Linked DNA regions of Caenorhabditis elegans. The protein of the gene in region 2 purifies or fractionates together with the protein of the main gene of each other region. This does not show direct contact. Each region holds a gene or a part of one and is shown on either strand. Other genes may lie near its edges.

The links.
Region 1: the proteins of magu-2 (region 2) and kca-1 purify together in Caenorhabditis elegans (affinity purification with western blotting, with the first as the bait; one study listed by BioGRID). This does not show direct contact.

Annotation. Positions count from the first base shown.
Region 1 is NC_003279.8:4,759,668-4,763,423, forward strand, and holds kca-1 (Kinesin Cargo Adaptor), read right to left. Parts: upstream 1,655-3,756; 5' UTR 1,641-1,654; coding exon 1,116-1,640; intron 1,067-1,115; coding exon 878-1,066; intron 827-877; coding exon 317-826; 3' UTR 153-316; downstream 1-152. Other genes in the region: kin-35 (Protein kinase domain-containing protein), read right to left, coding at 3,574-3,726.
Region 2 is NC_003283.11:8,799,227-8,802,982, forward strand, and holds the start of magu-2 (MAGUK p55 subfamily member 5), read right to left. Parts: upstream 1,803-3,756; 5' UTR 1,771-1,802; coding exon 1,596-1,770; intron 1,318-1,595; coding exon 1,208-1,317; intron 1,162-1,207; coding exon 1,077-1,161; intron 1,017-1,076; coding exon 929-1,016; intron 1-928.

The DNA.
Region 1 (3,756 bases), on a different chromosome or scaffold from region 2:
AAAGAAACTTTAAAGTAAATGTAATGCATGATTCAGTGAATAAATATGGAAAAATTGCTATGGAGCATTCGTAAGTGTACAACTTCGGCTTATCCAAATCCATTTTCCGCTTCTTTCTGACCTACAACAGTGACGCCTTCAAAATAAAATTTAAAGTGATAATCGTCTTTATTTTTGACGAGAATAAAATATATTGCAATAAAACTATAGTACATGTGATCACTTGTGAATAATAATATTTGACATGGAATTATAAACTTAAGACGAGCGGGATGGGTGAGTATTTTACAAGTTAATCAATATAAATTTATATTATTTACAGCATGCATTCGTCGAAACTTCCGACATCGGATTCCAAATGCGGCTGCCAATCCGAATCCTCGAAGTCGGCGGATACGTCGTGGTCACTTTCCCGGCTCACACGATCAGTGTCGATTTCCGGGCCATTCGGACATTCGCTGCAGATCTCGTCGATGCTCTTTTTGATGCTCTGGATGCGCTCTCGAAGTTGCCTAGCGAGTCCTTGTTCTGGCCCATTCTGGTTGGCAAGTGCACGCTGAATGGCATTTTCCACACGATCCAATCCCAGAATGGCGCTCCTCGCATCATCAGAAACATTGGCTTGATCTAGGTTGATGGTCGAACTGCTTGGTTCAGATGACATTTCCTCTGACGAATGAACGACATATGTGTTGCAAAGGGGATTCTGAGTTGATTGTTCGGGCTTTCCGTGGTCTTGCTCAGCGTCTTCCGAGTCGACATAGGCCAGCTGGTAGAAATCTCTGTTCAATGATTTGCACAGAATTTCATTAGTTTCCTCTCGACTCTAAAAAAATAAGATTTTAGTTCAATAAAATTATATACTCAAGAAATTTACCTTGTTCAACGTTGTCATAATTACAGCATTATCAAGTAGAATCGATGAAGTGTTGTTGAAGACTGCAGCTGGCACAGCGACTGTGTTGGAGTCACAATATCTCAATGGAACCAAGCTGTACTCGTCGTCACTTCCGTCCTCATTGATTGCAGGATTCTTCGGCGTGCTGGTGTAAAGTGGTGTGAACGGCTGTAAAACAACAAAATTAGCATAAAGTTGTTAAAATAAATATTCTCACCCGTGGCTGACGATCTTCCGGAGTGTTATCCAATTCGAATCGGACTGCTTTCAACACACGAGGAGGGAGTTTGAATCCTTTCGATGGATGTGGAGTGTATTTATGATCCTCAGGAAGCTCATCTTGTGCTGGAGTAGTTCGATGCTTCCAATACGAAATCTCGTCGTCATCCCACCAAAACTCGTCGTTTTTCATTGACGACACAGACTCGCGAGTCTTTTTTTCAACAAACTTCTCCATTCCGTCGACGTCGTTGTTCCGGAAGCACTTCATTATTTCATCGACAGTTTCTTTGTCCTGTTTCTTCTTCAAGTCCTTCTCAGTCTGACGCCATACAAACCAGCTGAATGGCCGGAAGAACGAGACGCCTTGTACGTCAGAAGTGTGTGGAGATGCCATAGAATGCCAGGAGCTCGATAATGAAGTCGATTTCATTGTTCGAAATGATGAATCGGAAGTGCTCTGCCCTGAGCAGTAGGACAGAGCATCTTCTCCGATCATCACTCCGGCGTCTTGTCGAACCATTTGGAATCGAACGGCTGCAAGAGAAAATATAATTGGGAAAAAAGGAAGGAAAAGTGGAAAAAGGAAATTGAATAAATAAATTTTCGAAAAAATTAAGTTTAAGCTTCGAAAATTAATCCTAAAAAAGAGAAAAATGTGATTCAAAAAGGCTAAAAGTGAAATGAGAATACGAAAATACGAAAATACGCGCCTTTCATTGCACAGGTCTCGGCGCGACTTTACCTCCGGAAAATTTGGCACATGCGTCTTTAAAAGAGTACTGTAGTTTCCTTCAATATTTGCGACAATGAAAAATCGATTTAAAATCGAAAATCTTCCCAATTTGTTTTAAAAAATTATAAGAAATTACATGAGCTCAGAACATTTTTCTTTGGTATTTTTTCATTTCTAGTTGAAATCCAGTTAAGTTGCTAAAATTTAATCCCGTATTTTGTTGATTTTCCAGTAATTTATTTCTAGAAATAAATCAAATGTGTTTTAAACTCTGAAATTTCAACAGAAAAAACAAATAATCATGCGAGTATTCGAAGAATCGCATAAACTCCGAAACTTTAATTTTTTTAAGTTCATTGCCCGAGAGGAGAACACGGCCGAGAATCTGAAAAATCATTTGCACGCGGAATTCAAATTAGATCCTCAGGAAGCTCATCTTGTGCTGGAGTAGTTCGATGCTTCCAATACGAAATCTCGTCGTCATCCCACCAAAACTCGTCGTTTTTCATTGACGACACAGACTCGCGAGTCTTTTTTTCAACAAACTTCTCCATTCCGTCGACGTCGTTGTTCCGGAAGCACTTCATTATTTCATCGACAGTTTCTTTGTCCTGTTTCTTCTTCAAGTCCTTCTCAGTCTGACGCCATACAAACCAGCTGAATGGCCGGAAGAACGAGACGCCTTGTACGTCAGAAGTGTGTGGAGATGCCATAGAATGCCAGGAGCTCGATAATGAAGTCGATTTCATTGTTCGAAATGATGAATCGGAAGTGCTCTGCCCTGAGCAGTAGGACAGAGCATCTTCTCCGATCATCACTCCGGCGTCTTGTCGAACCATTTGGAATCGAACGGCTGCAAGAGAAAATATAATTGGGAAAAAAGGAAGGAAAAGTGGAAAAAGGAAATTGAATAAATAAATTTTCGAAAAAATTAAGTTTAAGCTTCGAAAATTAATCCTAAAAAAGAGAAAAATGTGATTCAAAAAGGCTAAAAGTGAAATGAGAATACGAAAATACGAAAATACGCGCCTTTCATTGCACAGGTCTCGGCGCGACTTTACCTCCGGAAAATTTGGCACATGCGTCTTTAAAAGAGTACTGTAGTTTCCTTCAATATTTGCGACAATGAAAAATCGATTTAAAATCGAAAATCTTCCCAATTTGTTTTAAAAAATTATAAGAAATTACATGAGCTCAGAACATTTTTCTTTGGTATTTTTTCATTTCTAGTTGAAATCCAGTTAAGTTGCTAAAATTTAATCCCGTATTTTGTTGATTTTCCAGTAATTTATTTCTAGAAATAAATCAAATGTGTTTTAAACTCTGAAATTTCAACAGAAAAAACAAATAATCATGCGAGTATTCGAAGAATCGCATAAACTCCGAAACTTTAATTTTTTTAAGTTCATTGCCCGAGAGGAGAACACGGCCGAGAATCTGAAAAATCATTTGCACGCGGAATTCAAATTAGATCGAGGAAAAGAGTAGTATTTGGAACTTTGTACATCATAACATCTTTCTGGGAGACTTTTGTGATGTTTCCCTTATGCACATTGCCTTGTTAGATCATATAAAAAGCTTTTGAGCAGAGTCTCAAATATTACTACATCACCTTTACATTTTGGAACCTTTAATTTTTCAATGGAAGTTTGTCTTCTCAACAAATAAGACAACAGAAGAACACATAAAACTTTATTGATAATGAAATGTCTAGTTCCAATCACTTGTTTCTCTTCGATGCCTTTGCTTTCTTATGTGTACTCATTTTGGATCCGAGTTTCGATTGTGCAGTTTTTGCATCTCCACTATTAGCTCCACCACTTCCTGGCTGTTTCGGCTTACCAAGCATCTTGTTCTTGACTTTTGCATTCTTCTGAAATGCAATATTGAAAATTAAAATTAA
Region 2 (3,756 bases):
TACAAGAATCAATAAATTGAAAGTAACATGTTATTCCAAAGCTAGGCAAGAGTTTAGCTAACTGTGAACATACAAAAAATCTCAAAAGCGTAGTAAATTGTAATAAAGAACTGTAACGTTCTGAAACCCTAACAACCTGCAATTATCACAAGTCAGACAACCTTCGAAACGAAGAGAACACAGAATTTGAGTGATGATAGTTTTTTGATAAATAGTGTAATGAGACAGAAACATTTAAAAAGTTGATGAAAGAATAAGAAAAAAGGAATGAGAAAGAGAGAATGAGTGTGATAAGCGCAATGGGAGGTTCTATTACTTGAAAATGCCACTGACTGTGAAATAGAATATCAGGGAGACATAAAAAAGAATCGCCAGGTTGACTGATTAATCACTAGATTTATTGATATATTTGACGACGGAACTCTCCGTTTTTTCTCTTTTTTTTTCTCCATTTTTTGTCTTCACCTTGACAGATTATTGGTTTGTGACATACTAGACGTGCCGACTAACTGTGTGAAATACTAGAATGTGACCTATATAGTTGTGAAGACTGGACGAACGAGAATTCCAAATTAGCTCACATTCATAATCTCAGTGTTTTTGTGTTTCCCTGCCCGTCAGAAAGTTTCGAGGCCATTAATTAATTTCTAGAAAGCAGGTCGACGAGTGAACAACAAAGATTTTAAAGAAAATGAAGAGAGATGAATTTTTTAAGTGAAATGAAATAAATATGAGAACTTTTCAAGAACATTGATTTGCCAAAAACCAAATCTTAGTGGTATTTGCACTATTTGTCATATATTCACTGTTTATGCATATACCATAAATAGAGAGCACTTAAGAACTCTTCTTTCCGTTCTTTACACGTTCCGCTTCTCACAGATAGTATCGCAGAGAAGAAAATCTCTCTCAAAAAAAGATTACTCACTTTTTCAGCCGTTTAGTAACTTCCTTGATATGATCCTTATCCACGGAAACTAGATATGCATCCGTTATCATACGATTCGAATTTGTGCCTGAAATTAAACAAAAACTAAGTATTAAAAAGGAAAAAGTATAAACTTTTTTTTACTCACAGTTAAAAACAGAAGCTTCATTTTCTGCTGGAATTTCTAATGCACGACGTCTAACTTTCAGCTGAATGATTTTTCGACGAATACACTGAAATTTGAAATTTTGCAAGAAAGTATCATAAATTTTATCAAACTTCTTGAATATAAGTTGTGACTTCCTCATAACTTTTTCCTTCTATTTTCATGTCATTTACCCCAACGATTTCATCTCCAATGCTCAATCCTGCTCTTTCCGCAGCAGTTCCTGTAATGGAAATCGATTATTTTTTCAGAAGTCTGCATAAAATTTGTAAAGCACTTTATATCTGATTTCCAGACACCTTGAAAAAAGCGAAAAAAATTGCGATATAGGTTAAAAAAACGCCCACTTTGCCGATGCCATCAACGATTTGGAGAATCGCATTAGTACAAATGTTCGTTGACAAAATTTCAGTAAAAATTCATCAAAATTGCAAATTATTTCAATAAAAATACTTCAAAATGTTTTTATAAATTAGTCAAATAAAATTATCTTTTACTTACCGTACAGCCGAACAACCTTCTCTTCTCGTTCAACCAAAATTACAAAACCACTCAACGGCGTCGAAGTGCTCACAACGGTCTTCTTATTTCCAACACCACGTGCACTGCTCAACCGTCTCAAGGATGTCCTTTTCAAGTCGGACAGTGCCTGTGGTATCGACACCGACTTGGACATTTGATACTCGAGCCACTAGATGAAGGCTGAAAATTTTTTGGGAATATTATTTCCAACGAAAGCGAAAATAAGAAAATGAGAATCCAAATTTCTGAAAATAAAGCAATAACTGAATCGGAATGGAATTTATGAGTAGGTGAAATGAAAAAAGTTGTTTTGAAATCTCGTGGTTTTCATTTTGAATGATGAATGCTAGGATTCCGGGATCTGCTCAAAACTTGGATCTAAAAATAATCATAAACTTGAAACAAATGAATAGAAATGTCAGAATCACTCGAAAAACTGCTACTTCATGTAAGCGTTGTTGCGTGAATAATTGAGACAGAAAAAGAACCGAGAAGAAGAGTTGTGATGAGTGCACTTTCTTAGTTAATTGCTTTTTTTCTTTTCTTCTGCAATTGTTTTTTGTGTTTCAAGAGCTTAAAGAGGAATGGGGGATAAGAACTAAAAGACTTGAAGCGCTTTTGATGAGATGGACTTTTTGGGGTAAATTGGAAAAAGACCGACAAAAATGGGAATAGTTGAAGAGAAAATTCAAAATAACAAAAAAAGGGAGCTGTGTATAAGGGGTACTGTATGTCTTAAAGTTGAGAACAGAGGTTATGGACAAAAAAATAATCTTAAAGTTATCTGAGAAAGTTACGGTATCATAGAACATATTTGCCAGATAACAAATTTCTAAATTGTTGCCAAATTAAAAATGCAATCTTAATTATTGACTCACGAAAAGCACAATTAAAAGACTCCACATATCAATACAATATTTTTATCTGTAGTGACATTTTCTAGATTGATAAAAACAGCTACTTTAAAGATTTTGAAAGTAAATTTTAAGTTTTTCCTTTGAATTTCAAAAATACACTTCTAAAATTAGGCATATCAGTGAAAGTTTGCGTATTTCAAGGAAAACAGTAAGTGCAGCTGTCAAGCATGCTGCAAGCAATTAAAATTACACACACTCTCTAAGAATTCATAAAATTGTCTTGTCACGTTTGTTCAATCAAAAAAGATGAGGTCTTCAAAGTATCCATGAGCTCAAGACACACGGAATGAAGCACTAAATAATAGCTTTTCCCGGGGATAAAAAATTGAACGAGACAGATGAAAACAGTGGTCCAGATTGATGATATTGACATTCATTCCACTAGTTCAGTGTGACAGGGAGATGGATAGATTGGGAATGAAAACTGGATGAGAGAGCTTGAGATTTAGAGTGACAAATAATTATGGGGGATCCTCTTGAGAGAATCGCACCGAAACTATGTGCATCGTGTCCGGCAGAGGGAAACTAAAAAAAAAGATTTTTGACGCCATTGGTGTGTCTTCTGTGTCTTTTTCCACAGAGTCTCGAGTATAAAAAGTGAGAACGAAGAAGATACAGATAGTCGAGGATGGGGCAAAGAGAGAAAGGAAGATGGCGGTGTGGGTGGGAGAGCACAAGAAGGTCCAGTCTGGGGACAGAAAGAAGCACATGGAGCAAGAAAGAGAAAAGGAGATGGTGAATTGTGACATTCGACCCGCAGGGATTTGAAGAGACGCAGGCCGCATAGAAAGAACAAGCTATAAGATAGAGAATAGCCAGCTGATTAGTGCTGATTTCATTGATCAGCTCATCTATCTTCAACATGTCGTCTTGTAATTTTCTCTGAGACAAATTACGCCGATCTTCTATTGTGACTCTCGTAGCTTTGAAAAAAAACCAAGACAAATAACACTACTATTATGGTTAAAGTTCGTAACTTAAAAAAAAAAAACTTTTTTCACCCGCCTCTCGGATCTCAGTCATTTTTAGGCTAGTTTCGAGTTTGATGGGCATATTTTATTTTGTATAGAATGCAAAAAACAAATATGGATTTTGAGAATAAGTTGTGAGAAGATATTGTGAAAAACATAAACGTCCATCGTTGATAATCTTCACAAAACGTTTGTCGAGAAACTATGATTTTATGCGGAAATTATGCAAACAGTTTTTTGAAATTCTAAAAC